Linked DNA regions of Arabidopsis thaliana. The protein of the gene in region 1 interacts with the protein of each later gene in a pairwise test. Each region holds a gene or a part of one and is shown on either strand. Other genes may lie near its edges.

The links.
Region 2: the proteins of ZR3 (region 1) and AT3G63460 interact in a two-hybrid assay, tested with the Arabidopsis thaliana proteins (one large-scale study listed by BioGRID).

The regions. Positions count from the first base shown.
Region 1 is NC_003074.8:20,306,067-20,313,672, reverse strand, and holds ZR3 (Zim17-type zinc finger protein), read right to left. Parts: upstream 3,405-7,606; 5' UTR 3,320-3,404; coding exon 3,151-3,319; intron 2,524-3,150; coding exon 2,021-2,523; 3' UTR 1,819-2,020; downstream 1-1,818. Other genes in the region: AT3G54830 (Transmembrane amino acid transporter family protein), read left to right, coding at 212-392, 472-691, 784-919, 1,041-1,104, 1,196-1,318, 1,391-1,434, 1,526-1,601, 1,690-1,772.
Region 2 is NC_003074.8:23,429,854-23,441,197, reverse strand, and holds AT3G63460 (transducin family protein / WD-40 repeat family protein), read left to right. Parts: upstream 1-3,830; 5' UTR 3,831-3,956; coding exon 3,957-4,273; intron 4,274-4,422; coding exon 4,423-4,477; intron 4,478-4,571; coding exon 4,572-4,694; intron 4,695-4,805; coding exon 4,806-4,902; intron 4,903-5,017; coding exon 5,018-5,054; intron 5,055-5,141; coding exon 5,142-5,247; intron 5,248-5,323; coding exon 5,324-5,381; intron 5,382-5,595; coding exon 5,596-5,693; intron 5,694-5,789; coding exon 5,790-5,909; intron 5,910-6,211; coding exon 6,212-6,254; intron 6,255-6,372; coding exon 6,373-6,494; intron 6,495-6,577; coding exon 6,578-6,705; intron 6,706-6,801; coding exon 6,802-7,363; intron 7,364-7,466; coding exon 7,467-7,559; intron 7,560-7,847; coding exon 7,848-8,033; intron 8,034-8,114; coding exon 8,115-8,328; intron 8,329-8,405; coding exon 8,406-8,464; intron 8,465-8,557; coding exon 8,558-8,713; intron 8,714-9,190; coding exon 9,191-9,322; intron 9,323-9,403; and 7 more. Other genes in the region: AT3G63480 (ATP binding microtubule motor family protein), read left to right, coding at 17-133; scpl40 (serine carboxypeptidase-like 40), read right to left, coding at 336-1,339, 1,438-1,545, 2,241-2,637. UniProt on the Arabidopsis thaliana protein: Required for protein transport from the endoplasmic reticulum to the Golgi apparatus.

The DNA.
Region 1 (7,606 bases):
CACGGTCCATATTGTTTCCCTCTCTCTTGTTTCATAAATGAAATATTTGGTTTTTAGTATAAGAAAATGTTGAAATTCATCAACTACACATTGAAATATTTGTCTAGAGAGAAATTCTGAATGTTCCTATGATATGGTAAAGTTACACAAAGTTTGATACAAGTTATGGTAAAGTTACACAAAGTTTGACACAAGTTCATTTTGCATGCAGGCTATGAGTGTTGAATACATAATATTGGAAGGTGATAATCTTTCATCAATGTTTCCAAATGCTAGTCTAAGTATTGGAGGGTTTCACTTAGATGCGCCTCGTCTATTTGCTCTGCTTACCACCCTCGCTGTTCTCCCAACCGTTTGGCTTCGAGATCTCAGCGTACTAAGTTACATTTCAGGTATAAAACATTCAATCTAAAAGGACCTTTTAAAGATTCTTTTTTCATATATGTGAATATCTTAACCTTGATCTTGCAGCTGGAGGGGTGATTGCATCAGTGTTGGTGGTTTTGTGCTTGTTTTGGGTTGGTTTGGTTGATGATGTTGGTATTCACAGCAAAGGAACTCCACTAAACCTCGCAACATTACCGGTTTCTGTAGGACTCTATGGTTATTGTTACTCAGGACATGGTGTTTTCCCTAATATTTACACTTCAATGGCCAAACCATCTCAATTTTCTGCTGTTCTCTTGGCATCGTAAGCTTAAATATAAAGACATTACACATCTTAGGAACTCTCTACATTTCTATCTTTTACTGACAGTATCAATTTTTATTTTTTTTTCACAGTTTTGGAATTTGTACTCTTATGTATGCGGGTGTTGCTGTTATGGGATATAGCATGTTTGGAGAATCAACAGAATCACAGTTTACTCTTAACTTGCCTCAAGATTTGGTTGCATCTAAGATTGCTTTGTGGACTACAGTAAGTTTTTTTTTTTCACCCTTCCTCTGCTTATTACATGAAAGTTGGGATGATTTTCACTAAATTTGGTAGCTAGCCAGGTGAGGTCATCTAAGAGTTTTTTTCCTTGCCTTTTTTGCAGGTTGTTAATCCATTTACCAAATATCCTTTATCAAGAAATATTCAGAGACTTTTCATTTATCTCTGTAATTTTGTCATAAGCTTATTCATAATATAAACTGAAAATTGTGTGGCCTTAATAGAAAGAAAGCACATATGCTTTGACATTATCTCCAGTTGCAATGAGTCTTGAGGAGTTAATACCATCAAACTATGGGAAGTCACGTTTCTACGCAATCGCCATTAGAAGTGCATTAGCCATCTCTACTCTGCTCGTTGGTCTTGCGATTCCCTTCTTCGGTAAGGACAAACGAAAAATATACATGTAAAGAAAATAAGTGTCACTTCTTTTGACACTCAGAATTCTTGCAGGCCTTGTCATGTCACTGATTGGATCATTCTTGACAATGCTCATTGTAAGTTACACATTTGTTTCATCCTTTTCTGGTTATGTAAAGCAAATTCTCATATTGCAGTTTCATAGTGAATTTGCTTAGCCTGACAAAGTTTCTGGACACAGACGCTGATACTACCGCCAGCTTGTTTCTTGAGCATCTTAAGGAAAAAAGTAACCCCTACTCAGGTATGGCCTGCTCACTTACTGATAACCAAACCGAATATCGAAATTCCTCAAACTGAAATCGATATAACAATCTGTGGTTTGTTTGCAGGTGACAATCTGTATCTTAATTATGACAGTAGGAGCAGTATGTTCAGTCATTGGCACATATTCAGCCCTTGCAAAGATCATTGAGAAGTTGAACACCTAAAACTGATCAATCTTGAGATTCTTATTTTGTTTCTCTTGAGATTTTGTTTCTGTCTTAAATCAATGGAACATCTCAACCTATATGGAACATTCCAAACACATAATTGTATTAAACATCTTCTGCATTTAAATGTTACCAAACAGTGAACTACAAGAAACAATTATAATACTGGAACATAAGGTGAAGTTCTGTTCCATAATGGTTAAGTAGCAAAAGCAAAGAAGATCACTCCTTATTCAGTAGAAATCTTTCCTCCAGCTAAATCTTCAGGAGTTAGGTTAAGAGAATCCATGGATCCTTTCTTGAATTCTTCCCCTTGAGAAGCAAGGAAGTCCTCCACGCTTCCTGGTTCTCCAAACCAACCACGACGGTCTGCAATCAAATGTAGATTATCACACCCTCCACATCGTACCACCACAACGCCGTTTTCATATGATTCTCGGCTCGCCATCTTCATAGATCTTGTATCACAGACCTTGCAAGTGAAGACCATCATGAAGTCATGCCTCGGGTTTATTTTTAACTGGGACTTGTACTTCACCATCATTTCCTCAGAGGGCGTCGCAGGGGAGGGAACTTTGGCCGATTCAGTAGCAGAGTTTGACGAGTTGCAGACATTGGTTACAGAAGCTTCATTTGCCTCACGGATTACAGATAACTGTCTCTGAAATAATCTTCCATAAACATGACTTCTGCTGAAGAGTGAGTTTGATAGCGACAACTGCTCTGTTGAGACTATTTTCAAAAAAAAAAAGATAATCAAGAAAGATCAATTTAACAGTAGTTGTAGTTGCACGAAGCTAAAACAGTCTGTACCATAACAGGACATCATAGGAACCTCCTAGGATAATGTTTGCATCAAACCGTAGACTAATGCTAACACATCTTAGTCAGGAAATATATAACCAAACTTGAAAACTTAACCAGCGTCTAGCTGAAATGCCAATGTTCACAGCTACTGCTTAATGCATAGAGATATGTTGAAGACAAAGCACTTATGTGAGCATTCATAACTTCAGGTTTCGTAGAAGCACTTCTCTAACTCCAAAATGTAACAGAGCAAAGACGATATTAGATGATATACACATGAGAATACGAGTACTCATCATCACTAATGCCCCAAATCTCTAAAAGCTACAAAAACAACCCTAAAACCAAAATCTCCCCAAAATCCTCTTCTAGTGTAAATTCAAACATAAAAACCACAAATTTACATGAATCTCAACCAAATTCATCAAAAGAAACATCAAGGCAAGTATAAATTACACAGATTAAGAGACCAGTTTAACTCTAGTGCCCGATTTTCAATAACTCTTTAATTTTTCTTAAAGATGACAAAGTTGAGAAGGAGAGAGATGAAACCTTGAGACAAAGGAAAACGATGTTGTTGGTTGCTGAAAAGAGACAAAGCGCGTCTCAAAGCAAGTAACCTAGCGGCCATTGACAACCTGAGGGAGAGGAGGAACTCGACGCTTCTATTTTCCGTGAAATTTTGGAATCGGAGCACAATAAAAGAAGCCTTTTTAATCATTAGAGTTAGTTTTCGTTATGGTCAAGTCAAAATCTAAACCCAGGTTCGAACCACTGAGTGAGCCACAAGTAGACCGACCTTTTTCTTCTTTTTTTTACGTGAGGAAAAAGAAATTTGTGAATTGAAATCTTATCTAGAAAAGAAAAAAGAAAAAAAAAATCAGAACAAGCAGGAGAATAATGTGTGTGATACAGGATATTGAGTAAGGCCACGTGGACGGCTGTGATTAGAAGATCAATGGACGGCTGTGATTCAAATTAAGTGTGCGTAGAGCTGAAGCTAATAAATATCAAGTGTCATCGTATTTTCATGTTATCGTTGAAGTTGTTGTTATTCCTTTCTCTCTGAAAACATTCCGAGATTCATCCTCTGCATAGAACGTCGATTCTTGCGAGGTGAATCCAGAAATCCCTTGTTTTATGAACATTGGATTTCATTTGTTATTTACATCGTAATAATAAGTAATCGGAGTTGTTGATGATTGCTTTGGTTGATTGATTGTGTTGTGGTGTGGTTTTACTGTATTAAAGGTATCAGAGCAAAGACGTTTCTCGGAGATGGTGATCGAGACTCGAGCTCAGGAGTTAGCTCAAGCTCGTCGAGAGAAGGCGTTAGAAGCAGAGGAATCGATGGAGTCACAGATGGAGAAGATCGAGAGCAAGATCGATGCTCAAAATCTGAAGATCGAGCGCCATATCTCGGAGATGTTTGAGGCGATCCACATGCTGTCTCCATCTAAGCAGTCAAATCTGGGTGAGACTCATCAAACAGCTCGTGCTTCATCCGCTTCAGCAACAGACGTGGATTACATGAGAAGGCAAGGTCACGCTAACAATCATTCGGGAGTAACAAGGTTAGGGAAGTTGGATTTTCCCAGATTCAGTGGTGAGAAGGTTAAGGAATGGTTGTTTAAGGTTGATCAATTTTTTGCGGTGGATCCTATACCTGAAGAGATGCGAGTGTCTGTAGTTTCTATTCATTTGGATGGTCTGGCTGCTACTTGGCACCAGAATATGATTGAGGATGAAGTGCAGGTTCCTGAGTGGGGTGTGTACAAAGCTAGGATCAGGGAGAGGTTTGAGATGGTTGGAGAGGATCCTATTGCTGAGCTGAAGAAGTTGCAGGAAACAGCTGCTAGCATTGATGACTATCACGCAAAGTTTGAGGCGATCCGGACTCGAGTAAGGATGACGGAGGATTATTTAGTGAGTGCGTATTTGGTTGGGTTAAGGATTGAGACACAGATGCATATCCGAATGTTTCAACCCCAAACGGTGCGGCAGTGTTTGATGTTGGGACGTCTCTATGAAACTGCTCATCCTGTGCAGAACAATGCGACTTCTTGGAAGAACAATAAGGCTACTTCAAAGGGCCAGTTCTCCTTTAAGAAAGACATGGAGCAGCAGGGCAATAAACCAGCGTTTCAGGAAAAACCAAGAGACACACAACAAAATCAGCCAAGGCGGTTCTTATCTACTGAAGAGATGAGTGCTAGGAGAGCTAAAGGATTGTGTTATTTTTGTGATGAACAATACACATCTGAACATTATAAGATTCACAAGAAAACACAATTGTTTGTTTTGGAAATGGAAGATGCTGAGGAAGTGTTCTTGGATGCAGAAGAAGAGCATAAGGAGTTAGTTGGGGAAGTAGCTCATATCTCAACTCATGCTATGGAGGGTATCTCAACTTACAACACTATGCGAGTTAAGGGTACAAGTCAGAAGAGATCCATTTTTATGTTGGTTGATTCGGGTTCCACTCACAATTTTATGGATCCTCAAATGGCAAAGAAGTTGGGTTGCTCACTCCTACCTAGTGATAATGCAAGAGTACGGGTGGCTGATGGTTACAATCTGAAGGTGATAGCGAGAATACAGAATTTTAAGTGGGAGATTCATAACACGACTTTTGTAGCTGACTTTATGGTAATTCCTTTGAAAGGAATTGATGCAGTTTTGGGTGTACATTGGTTGAAACCTCTAGGTCCTATTACATGGGATTTCACATTGTTGACAATGCAGTTTAAATGGGATAAGAAACGGGTGATGATACATGGTATTCAGCCTTCGTCGGTGCGTGCTATCAAGGCTGACAAATTGAACAAACTGAGAGACTCCGAAGTTCAGCTGTCTATGTTGTGTGTTGCAGACGCTGATGAGGATGAGGGAGAGGTGTTGCAGTTGTCTTCTTTAACAACAGAGGTGTCACCACCAAGTACTACTTCTGCTATTTCTCAATTACTTGATGAGTATAAGGATGTGTTTGCTGAACCTAAAGGGCTGCCTCCTTCTCGGACACATCATGATCATCCAATTCCTTTGATTGAGGGCACTAATCCGGTGAACATGCGACCATATCGTTATGCTAATCATCAAAAAGATGAGATTGATAAGATTGTCAAAGATATGTTAGAGAGCGGTATCATCCAGCCTAGTTCAAGTTCATTTGCCTCCCCTGTGGTTTTAGTGAAGAAGAAAGACGGCTCTTGGAGATTGTGTGTGGACTACCGAAAGGTGAATGGAATTACAGTGAAGAATTGTTTCCCTATTCCTCTTATTGAAGATCTTATGGATGAGTTGGGTGGGGCAGTGATCTTCTCGAAGTTTGATCTAAGAGCGGGTTATCATCAAGTGAGAATGGTGGAGAAGGATATTCCCAAGACTGCTTTCAAGACTCATAGTGGTCATTTCGAGTATTTGGTGATGCCCTTTGGATTGACCAATGCACTAGCTACTTTTCAAGGGTTGATGAATTCAGTGTTTCAAAAGTTTCTAAGGAAGTTTGTCTTGGTGTTTTTTGATGATATCCTTATCTATAGCAAATCAAAGAAGGAGCATTTGCAGCACTTAAAACTGGTATTGGAAGTAATGAGGGAGCATAAATTATTTGCCAAACGGAGTAACTGTGCGTTTGCAACATCAAGAGTCGAGTACTTGGGTCATTTTATTGACAGAGACGGACTGTCTACCGATCCATCAAAAGTTTTAGCTGTGAAGGAATGGCCTGCACCTACTAATTTGAAGCAATTACGGGGTTTTCTGGGCTTGGCTAATTATTACCGCCGTTTTGTTAAGAATTTTGGAGCTATTGCCAGACCATTAACCTTGCTAACGAAGAAGGATGCATTTTTGTGGTCTCCCGATGCTACTGTGGCGTTTTAGAATCTGAAACATGCATTGTGTACAACCCCAGTATTAGCTTTGCCCCGTTTTGATCAACCCTTTGTAGTTGAAACAGATGTTTGTGGTCAGGGTATCAGTGCCTTTTTGATGCAGAATGGCCATCCACTGGCTTATATTAGCAGGCATTTACAAGGCAAACAACTTCACCTATCGATCTATGAGAAGGAGCTTTTGGCAGTGGTCTTTGCCATTCAGAAATGGAGGCACTATTTGTTACATGACCATTTTGTGATCATAACAGATCAAAGAAGTTTGAAGTATTTACTGGAGCAGCGTCTTAATACACCCATTCAGCAGCAGTGGCTTCCAAAACTTTTGGAATTTGACTATGAGATCCAATACAAGGAGGGTAAGGAGAATTTGGTGGCCGACGCGTTGTCACGGGTTGAAGGTTCTGAGATTTTGCATATGGCATTGTCAGTATTGGAGTGTGATCTGCTTCAGAGGCTCAAAGATGGGTATGCTTCTGATGCTGTGGTTCAGAAACAGATTGAAGCTCTTCAGAGAAGTGCAGATTCGATAAAGAAGATGAGTTGGTCACAAGGGTTGTTGCACCGTAAGAACAAGCTGGTTGTACCAAATGTTGTAGCTTTGAAAGATTCTATTTTGGGATGGTTACATTGTTCAGGTGTGGGGGGCCACTCAGGTCGTGATGCTACCCATCAGCGTGTGAAGAGTCTGTTTTATTGGAAGGGGATGTCTAAAGATATTCAAGCTTACATCCGGAGCTGTTCTGTGTGCCAGCAGTGTAAGTATGATACTACAGCATCTCCGGGTTTGCTTCAGCCATTACCTATTCCTAATGCGATTTGGTCTGACATATCTATGGATTTTATTGATGGTCTGCCTATTTCTTTTGGGAAATCTGTGATCTTGGTGGTGGTTGATCGTTTAACTAAAGCTGCTCATTTCATTGCATTGAGTCATCCTTATTCTGCCTTGACAGTAGCACAAGCATTCATGGATAATATATTCAAGCTTCATGGGTTGCCTAATTCTATTGTCAGTGACAGGGATTCAGTGTTTTTAAGTGAGTTTTGGAGAGAATTGTTCACATTACAGGGTGTGGCTCTCAATTACTCAAGCGCATATCACCCTCAAA
Region 2 (11,344 bases), 3.1 Mb from region 1:
TATTTCCTCTTTGCAGTTAGAAGCAGAAAACATAGGTATTCAGGAACAAGCATTGCGCAATCACGAACCTGGTTCGGTCGGAAAGATGTCAAGGTTCATCAGTTCTTGGTATGCATCGTTCTTTACGTCCTAAAGATGATAAAATGAATATACTATCTTGGTAATGTAGAAGATGTGGACAAGTAGATGGTAAAGAGATAAGTTTCTCTTTTTAGGTCGTGAGAGCAAAACAGATATTAACATTCAAAGGTATGTAATGAAATAGTAGATAAAAAATGGATGGGAGGATGAATAAAAGCTAATTAAGAGAGAAATTACAATCTCAGATAGAATATTTAGTAACGAGAGGTGTCAGGGAGAGGAGTGTCATTGAGGAAGTGAATGAAGAGTGAAAGAGAGCGCTTTGGCTGGAAGCTGGGAACTTGATGACCAGCCCCTCTCACTGTGGCAAATGTCAATTTCCCTTTGTACTCCTCTGTGTATCCACCCACCTCACCCCCTAGGTACCATGGATGCCAGGCCGTTTTGGCCGTTAGATTCATCTTCTTGAGGGAGTATTTGGTGGACGTCACTGGAATTCTCCCGTCTGTGTCTCCGCTGAACACCCAGACGCGGACGCCCTGACCCATCAGCTCCTTGATGAGAGGAATCACTGTGGTAGGACTGTCGTTCCACTTCTTTATCACACTGCTGCACGGCTGCCACTCGTAAGGCAGCTTCGTAGCGTTTGCGTGCAGGGCCGCTTGGACTTCAGGTCTGTTCAGGTAGGCCTGCACGTAATGGTCACTGCAGGGGTCAAACTCCCTTATTGTGGTTCCTCGCTTGGGCCTGCGAGTGAGCGTGGAGTTGAGGCACAAGGGAGCGTATATGTTGTAGATGTCGAGGTAATATGTATCCATGTCTATTTGGTCGGACACCACCGCGCACTCCTCAGTCATTACACTCGCAGACTCCGTCTTGAGATCGCAGTTGCTCTTGAGTCTAGCCAAAGAATCTTCGGAGATCAAAGCATGACTCTCGAAAAAGTCGTACATACCCATCAAGTCGGTCTCGTCGTTGATCACCGCATTTCCTATCAGAATGCCCTTGAGATTGAAGAAGCTCCGGTGATGGAGAAGGATAGTATGGGCAAGTTGCGGAACATAGTGGCCGGCATAGCTCTCACCGGCGATGTACAAGTCCCTGCCTTTGTACTCCGGGAACCTCTCCAGCCAGTTAACCAGGAAGATGTAGTTATCAGCTGCGGTATTCCTGTCCCCGTGCTTCTCCAGGTCCGACGTCGTGTTGGTGTACGAGAACCCCACTCCCGCCGGCGATTCTAAGAACAAGACATTCGCAGCTGCACCACCACCACCCGTTTGATAATTTTTTAATCACAAGAATCGTTTACCATTAATTTATTTTTGTTATTTAATAAAAAAGAAAAACGATAGGTACCATTGTTCCATGCATATCGGTTTCTAAAAAGCGTTTTGCCGTCGCTGTGTACTCTGAACGGCCCAAGCTCTTGTAATGCTCCATACGCCAGTGACGAGCATCCCGGTCCTGTTAATTATTTCCAACACACTTTATGCATATGTATGTATTATTAGTCACCCATATTTCTGTAATCAAATTCTCGATTTTGTGACAGCTAATTCACTGATGAGCTTACTATTAACGTCTCTGGTGAATTTGAATATATGTTGTACATTGCATTTTATTTTTATGTACATACATAATATAGAAATCAGTATATAATATATAGATAGATACGTAGTGGCTGGCTAAATAATTGACCAGTAGAGCTGTGCAACAAACAAAGCACGCCGAGAAATCCTCAGCATGTGCCATTTTTGAAAAAAGGCAAATCATTTTTCTTTTTCTTTTCTCAGTTGAGTTTTCGATTGGGGTTGTGGATCTTTTCCCTATTATTCACTACTATTGTTGCGCAAATAATAATTAGTTCCGATAATTTGATTTAAAAATTATAAAAGAAAAAGAAAATTAGCAGACCTATAAGGCATAAATATGGTATGGTCCTCACAATTATTAAATTCTGAAAATCATATAGCATATGATAGATTAATAAGCACTGAGAAAAAGACAGCCTCGATCGATCAAACTAACATTCTTGTTCATCTTTGTACTCAGATATAAGATGTACAGATATAAACCCATAATGCAGTGCCCCTAACTAAAGATGCAAACCAAAATAAAAGAAATATATATACGTATGCGTGTGGACAGTGGAAACGTACCGCCGTTGAGCCAGAGAAGCAGAGGAGAAGAATCTTTAGACTTAGAGGCTTCCACGAAATAGTAGAAAAAGGAACGCCCGGCGGATTCGTTGACGGTAACATAGCCGCCGTACTGATCGAAACTAACGGGAGGCTGTCCGGGCAATCTCCGTATCAGATCTCTCTTTCTTAGCCCCTCCTGATTAGCAGCACTCCGCAGCGAAGACGGTTTCAAATCCTTAACCGCCTTGAAATGGCTTGTGTCCATGGTGGACGAACCACCAACCCCTCGCTTAGACAGGTAAAGACGGCTCAGGGCGTGCACTTGGCTGCTGCATTCGATTCGAGACACCACCACACACAGTAACACCAACACCGATGCGATTACAGAGTAGGAGTAGCCCTGTCCTTTCCTCATTCTCTTATGTCTATGAATTATAGCGTGGGAGGGAAACAATAGAAGGTTTTGGTTTTGGTTTTGGTTTTGAAGAAGAGACAGTTAAATGAAGAAACGAGTGTGTGGGTTTGCATCTTTAAACAACTTCTTCTTTTTTGTGGGTCAAAACCTCCAACCATACGAATGATTGTTCCTTTTTTTTTTTTTTTTTTTTTTGACAACTATTGTTTTTGTTTTTCATTTTTAAAGTAGTACAATTATTTTGATAACAGATTCAGATTAAAGATTAATTTATTTATTTTATTTTTCGGGCCTCAATCAATATATATATATATATATATATGTTTCATGTAAGAAAAGGTTGTGTGTCTATGGGTGTGAAGTGAACTTACTAAATTAAATTAGTAATCTTCGAATGTATATGGCCTTCGATTATTATTAGTCGTTTGGGAGAGAAAAACGAAACACCTTGATAGCAACTTATAACTTATAAGTAGAATGATGCAATGATTATTGGTTTTTAATAATTATTTCTCTTTTTTTTCCCAAAACAAAAGTTAAAGAAGCATAAAATGCATTACCCTGATAAAAATGTACAAGTGGAATTCTAAGAATCTGAAGAAAAAAAAGAGCGAGGAGAGAAGATGTCAACGTCTCTGAGTGATCATGTTATGCCATGTGGTGTGTGAGTCGATGCTGCAATCCTGATTTTCACACTTGATATCATTCCATCTTTTGTTTCTTCGTAATACATTTAACTGCAAACAAATATTAGCTTATTTTCTACCATTGTTTAATACGAATTCTATAAATCTGGAACAGAAAAAATGTAAGACAATGATATGAGCCGAACATGGGACTTTCGTGTACTAGTAGCCCCACTGGCCAGATCCGATGTTTCAGCACATTCCTTCCCAGTTTATTATTCATAACAATCTCATTGACCACTTAAATAAATAATTTCAAATTTGATGATAAAAATTTCACGTGTTTTTGAAAACACATTATTGGGCCCAATTGTTGCGATTCAAAGTTGGGTAATGAGATTTATCCAGCATATTGTTCCAAGGCCCAAATAAGATGGGTCATAGGCCTCAGAGATTAGTTGACGTGTCATGTTTAGAATGGCTCTCAGAACCTTAGGGGAGTGTCCGAGATTACCCTTACTCTTTTGAGTTGAAAGTACAGTTTCGCCCCTGTCGAAATAAGAAAATAAAAAACATTCTAATCAAATCTATAATGGTGAAGTAACTCCTCTCCTCCTTTGTTCTCCAGATCCCAATTTACAAGAATTCAACTTCACACACCCTAAAAATTAAATCCCAATCTCCGATTCCAATATGGCTTGCATCAAGGGGGTGGGCCGATCCGCCTCCGTTGCCCTGGCTCCCGATGCTCCTTACATGGCCGCCGGAACCATGGCCGGAGCCGTCGATCTCTCCTTTAGCTCTTCCGCCAATCTCGAGATCTTTAAGCTCGACTTTCAGTCTGACGATCGCGACTTGCCTCTCGTCGGGGAAATCCCCAGCTCCGAGCGGTTCAATAGACTCGCCTGGGGAAGAAACGGATCTGGATCCGAGGAATTCGCCCTTGGTCTTATTGCCGGCGGCCTTGTCGACGGAAATATAGATCTATGGAATCCTCTTTCTTTGATCGGGTGCGTTTCCTTTCCTCGCCTTGCTTTGCTGCTATTGAATCGCCATTTTCACTCTGTTTTTTTTTATAATCCGCATTAATAGAGTTATGTATGTGGTATCCAATTTTCATCTGAACGAGTCTAACTCGAACAACTGTCACAATTTTCAGTTCCCAGCCCAGCGAAAATGCACTCGTTGGCCATCTTTCAGTTCACAAAGGCCCTGTGAGTTGTGTCTCTCTGCATTATTTTGTTGCTTAACGCTGTTTTGTTTTTATCACTCCTCATTTTCATGTGTGCGTGCTTCTTTTTTTCTTAGGTTCGTGGTCTTGAGTTTAATGCTATCAGCTCAAATCTACTTGCTTCTGGGGCTGATGATGGTGAAATTTGCATTTGGGACTTATTAAAGCCTTCAGAGCCTTCTCATTTTCCACTGCTCAAGGTATACCACCACTTCTTACTAGTCAACAACCTTGGTTTTTGTATTACCTTTTACTCTCATTATTGCTTTGGTATAAACCCATGAGTAACTTTATGCGAGGGTCTTTTGCAGGGTAGTGGTTCTGCTACGCAAGGTGAAATCTCCTTTATATCGTGGAATAGAAAAGTTCAACAGATATTAGCTTCTACCTCATACAATGGGACTACTGGTGAGACTTAGGGGTTTCTCTCTCTTTCTCTATCTACTTGACTACTACTTCACTTCTGTCTACTATATTTCTGCTTCTGCTCATCAGTCTTTATTTTCATTTTCTTTTCCCCCAGTAATTTGGGACTTGAGGAAGCAGAAGCCTATAATTAAGTAAGTATTCAATTTATTAAGTGATATTATTGAGGCTCTCGAAAAACTTGTTGTCAAATCCTTGATCTCGCCATTATCATTCAACAGCTTTGCAGATTCAGTTCGACGCCGGTGCTCTGTTTTACAGTGGAACCCTAACGTTACTACTCAGATAATGGTTGCATCAGATGACGACAGTTCACCTACTTTGAAGGTAAGGAATCATTTAACGCGTTGCTTCATATAGTTCAATTTTGGTTCTTTTAGTGATGTAAGGTATCTGCAATCAGCTCTGGGACATGAGGAATATAATGTCACCTGTGCGCGAGTTTACTGGACACCAAAGAGGTATTTTCAAATCATTGATATCAAAATGCTTTTCTCAGTGCTTCTCTCTAGCTTGGTATCATTTTCTATGGTTGGTAAGTGGACAGCCTTGTAGATCAGACGTCTTAGTCTTTAACCCACTCATATTTTGGTGCCTTTATATTATAGTCCTGTTGTCTTCATTCTTGGTGTTACACCTTGGTGAAGTGTAGTGGTGATACTTCTTATCTGTCAGGGGTAATTGCAATGGAGTGGTGCCCAAGTGACAGCTCATATCTTCTCACCTGTGCTAAGGACAACCGAACGATTTGCTGGGATACAAATACAGCAGAGGTAGTGTGAAGGAATCAATAAAAGATACAGATTTGCTGGGTCCGTGAATTAGTTAACTATTTTCCATTTTGACTGAGTTTGATCCAACCATAACAGATTGTGGCTGAGTTACCTGCTGGCAACAATTGGAATTTTGATGTTCATTGGTACCCAAAGATACCTGGAGTTATATCAGCATCTTCATTTGATGGGAAAATTGGCATCTACAATATCGAGGTACCTTAGTAGTTTGCCCTTCAGTAATTGTAAATTATTTTGTTCTATATGAATGAATGTAAATAATGTATGAGGCATAACAAATAATGAACTTTTGAATCCAGCCCTATCGACTGTTCTCCTTCATCATTTTAGGTTTCAGGTCCCCAGTTAACATACCACTGGAAATCAAATGTTTTAGAGTTTAATCTTATACACTTTGTAGTTGAGATTTACCTTATTAGCAAGACCTGTTGAACTGTAGATCTCCCTTCTCCCCTCCTAGAATGGATTAAAAAAACGTATTCAACGCTTTGGTGCAGGGTTGCAGTCGCTATGGTGTTGAAGAGAATAATTTTGGTACTGGTAATTCCATTTACCCAATCTGAACCGTTTGTTTACCGTTGATTACTTCTATCATTTTTATGCTGGAAGATGAAAAGCTTCAGGACCAACATTACTTCTTATATTCCTCTCTATGCAGCTCCTTTAAAAGCACCAAAATGGTATAAGCGCCCGGTTGGTGCATCTTTTGGATTTGGGGGAAAGCTTGTATCGTGTCACGCAAGGGCCCCTGCAAAGGGTACTTCGAGCATTCTATCCGAGGTAGGTATCTATGTACATATATTTATTTATCCGGTTATACCCCTTTTGTCGTCAATTCTAATTTGACTTAGTGTCATGTTTAGGTTTTTTTGCACAGCCTGGTAACAGAACAGAGTTTGGTGAGTCGAACTTCTGAATTTGAAGCTGCAATAGAAAATGGAGATATGACTTCTCTAAGGGGTTTGTGCGAGAAGAAATCTGAAGAGACTGAGTATGCCATCCTTGTGATTGAAAATGTTGATATTCGCCCTTATAAAAACTCATGAGATAACTCAGTTTGGACCATTTTATTCCACTGATTTCGCAGATCCGAAGAGGAGAAAGAGACATGGGGCTTGCTGAAAATCATGTTCGAAGAGGAAGGAACTTCAAGGACAAAGTTGATCAGCCATCTTGGCTTTACTTTGCCTGTTGCGGAAAAGGATCAGGCAGTAGATGGGCTCTCATCAGATCTCAATGGCATTAGATTAGAGGATACTGCGGCAGATGCACTGGATCTTGACGACAGTAACGAGGCAGCTGCATTTGCGATGGATAATGGAGAAGACTTCTTTAACAACTTTCCTGCTAAACCGGATACACCTGTATCTACATCTGCCAAAGATTTTATGCCTTCTGACACAGATTTTTCTACCAAAGGAGAAGAAACGCAAGAAATGCAAGAAGAAGAGGAAGAAAGTTCTGACCCAGTTTTTGATAATGCCATCCAGCGAGCGTTGATTGTTGGAGATTACAAGGAGGCGGTGGATCAGTGTATAACTGCAAATAAGATGGCCGATGCTTTAGTTATTGCTCATGTTGGTGGTACAGCGTTGTGGGAGAGTACTCGTGAGAAATATTTGAAGACGAGCAGTGCGCCATACATGAAGGTATATGTATATTCTTTCCCAACTTGATATGTAGGTAAGTGCCATCTACACCCCTGTTTGTGGTTGCAAAATCTGTAAACTACTGTATGTTTATCTATTTCAGGTTGTTTCTGCGATGGTGAACAATGATCTCAGGAGCCTTATCTATACAAGGTCACATAAGTTCTGGAAAGAGACTCTTGCTCTCCTCTGTACTGTAAGTTTCTCCGACTGAGGGAAAAATACTTAGAAAAGAAAGGAAATTTACTAATTGATATTGTCTATCAATGCACTCCAATAATCATAAAGGAAATGGAATCTGCTTTTTCGTGTCTTACTCAGCGAAAACATTTTCTGCTATCACTTTTAACTCTTTTCAACAATATAATGTGATGTTATCTCCGTGCACTCGTGAACCAAGATGAACAACTTGTCAGCTACGCTATTCTGCTCACTAGAAAACTTCTTTGTAATGAATGCTGATCTTATATTCATTGGCAAACAGTTTGCACAAGGAGAACAATGGACAACCCTGTGTGATGCCCTTGCCTCGAAGTTGATGGCTGCTGGTAACACTTTGGCTGCAGTTCTCTGCTACATTTGCGCAGGCAATGTTGACAGAACAGTAGAAATTTGGTCGAGGAGCCTTGCAAATGAGCGGGATGGAAGATCTTATGCTGAGCTTCTTCAAGTGTGTATCACTTTCTATGTTTCGCGCATAAATTTTGCTGGGCTTCTCCGCTCATATTTTTCTGCCCTTATCTTATAATAGGATCTTATGGAGAAGACTCTTGTCCTTGCTTTGGCAACTGGCAACAAAAAGTTCAGCGCATCTCTGTGTAAACTCTTTGAGAGTTATGCTGAGATACTGGCCAGCCAAGGGCTTCTTACAACGGCAATGAAGTACTTGAAAGTTCTGGATTCTGGTGGCTTGTCACCTGAACTTTCAATATTACGTGATCGTATTTCTCTATCTGCAGAACCTGGTGCGTATGCAGTTGTGTTTTTGATTAATATTTAAGAGAGTTTTGATGATAAATTTAGCTTAACATTTTATACGCAGAGACTAACACTACAGCTTCAGGAAACACTCAGCCTCAAAGCACCATGCCATATAATCAGGTATTTGAGTTCTGCAAATCGTTTTATATTTTACTTAGAATCCATGTAGCTTTCACGGATAACATACTTAGTCTTTACTCTTCTATGGCTTAGGAGCCAACTCAGGCGCAACCAAACGTTCTTGCTAACCCATATGATAATCAGTATCAGCAACCGTACACTGATTCTTATTATGTCCCTCAAGTTTCACATCCACCCATGCAGCAACCAACCATGTTTATGCCACACCAAGCTCAGCCAGCTCCGCAGGTTTCTAAAGTTTTGGTTTTGTTGCATTTTCTTTTCTTATTCTTCCTTGCACCATCATGCATTAATGACCATCCTTATCTAGCAGTTCTCAGATGTCTAGATCAGGAAAGTGTCCGTTTCTTTATGTTTTTGTCTAAGGGATTGGTCAAGCTTTTGAGATATGATGACATCTGAAATATGTATGTGGTGCTCAAATGCATAGTCTCTTCGTTTGTGTGATTTTTTTAGTCAGAATAGTAGATGGATTATAATAGGTATGTGGTTCTTTGACCTAAAACAAAACTCCCCAAAACTGAACATTTTCAGCCTCTAAACCCATGTCCTAGAGAAACGGATAATCTAGACCTTTACTTTTATTCACTGCTGTAGAATCTATATCCTAGAGAGGTCGTGAGAAAATTTTGTCGTGGGAAAGTGTTTTGTTTGCTATGTACAGGTTTCTTGGGCCAACTTGTTGACTATAGTGTGTTTATGCAGCCATCTTTTACTCCAGCTCCTACAAGCAATGCTCAGCCATCCATGAGAACTACATTTGTTCCTTCAACTCCCCCTGCACTGAAGAATGCAGATCAATATCAGCAGCCAACCATGAGTTCTCATTCATTCACGGTATGAGAAATTTTGCCTCCAGTGTGTTTGATGTTACCCGCAGTTTTAGTTTAATGAAGCTAACTTCTAAATTTTCATCAGGGACCATCTAACAATGCATACCCTGTTCCCCCGGGTCCTGGTCAATATGCACCTTCTGGCCCTTCACAACTTGGGCAATATCCTAACCCTAAGATGCCCCAAGTTGTTGCTCCAGCAGCTGGACCCATAGGATTTACGCCCATGGCAACTCCAGGAGTTGCTCCAAGATCTGTGCAACCAGCAAGTCCTCCAACACAGCAGGCAGCTGCACAGGCAGCCCCTGCGCCTGCAACTCCGCCACCAACTGTTCAGACTGCAGATACTTCCAACGTTCCAGGTATCGTACGACGTTTCATTAGCACCTTATCTCTGTTTTGTTTCTGAGTAAAGTCATATAATGATCACCTCTTGTAAACTGATCCAGCCCACCAGAAACCTGTGATAGCAACGTTGACAAGGCTTTTCAATGAGACATCGGAAGCACTGGGAGGCGCACGTGCGAATACTACTAAGAAGCGTGAGATAGAAGACAACTCGAGAAAATTAGGTGCTCTGTTTGTGAAACTCAACAGCGGAGACATCTCCAAGAATGCTGCGGACAAACTCGCACAGCTATGCCAAGCTCTGGACAACAATGACTTCAGCACAGCCCTTCAAATACAGGTAAGCTAGTAAATTGATCTCTTCTGGGTTCCTTGTAGATGATTTCGTGTTTAATAATCAGTTTTATTGACCTCAAAAACAAACAAACAGGTACTTCTGACTACCAGCGAATGGGACGAATGCAACTTCTGGCTGGCAACACTAAAGCGGATGATGGTCAAGGCCAGGCAAAATGTGCGGTGATTATTTATTTTCTGGGTTCATGGATTTTTTTTTTTATAAATCTTAAGGAGGGACGTGTGTATCAAACTCCTTTTGCTTTCTTAATTTTGGTCTTTTTAAAACGCCGTTGCTGCTCTAATCTTCTTTTTTTTTTTTTTTTGTCATTTATGAACCTCATCTGCTACTTCCAGTTACTCTTTTGTTTAGATAGTATAGAGATCATCAGATTGCTGAAACATTCTCATGTTTTTGGATGTTACTTTACCGGACAAGTTTGTTCGTCTTTCTTTCTACGAATTTTGTTAGATTTTTACGCTCTTTGTTTTTCTTGTCATATTTGAAACATGGATTAAGCAAAAAGTAGCATTTATAAAATATTGTTGAGCAACAACTAAATATTCCGCCAGAATCTCTTACTAATAAAAGGGAGACACGGGTAGCGGGAGTATCCTAGAACGCGTTGAGCAAACTTTTAAAAGAAACGTGCCAGTCACCATCATGGCCTTTTTGAGGTCGATCTCGGCCATGGTGCAGATTCCATGTAGGAGGAAGAAAGACATCATCCCCCACGACTACGAGGGCCTCATCCTTCGAATGTACATTAGGACAATAAGGAAAGGAGTATTGAAGAAACTGGATGTAAAAGATGATGGTACGAAAGCGACATGACAAATCAATGTGGTTGCAGCAGGCCTTGTCGATGAAAATATAAAACCTTTGGGTTGTATAAAACAGGCCCATATAGCGAGAGAATGTAGGCCCATATAATAGAGAATGTATGTTTATGGACCCAAAAACGTTACCACCAAATTACTTGACGTAGAGAGATCCGTTGCTTAAAAAAGTATGACTTATGTGCGAGAGTCTGAGAGAGACAGAGACATAAAGGCATTGATTGGAACGTCGTTGACTGAGAACACACATTGTGTTGTGATGACTGATGACTTGAAATTCGAAAAAGTTAGTTAAGTGGGGAGAGAGAGAAAGAGAGCTCAACCTCAATTGTGGGTTTTGAAACCCAATGTAACTAACCTACTAATAAGAGTTGCTGCAGTGCAATCCAATGCATGTGTGAGATCACTGGCGCGTGAGAATCACACTGACCCAATCGCTACGTGTGGATTTTGTGTGTAAATGGAGATGTCAGAGAGGGTTGAAAGGAAGAGAACGTGCAAA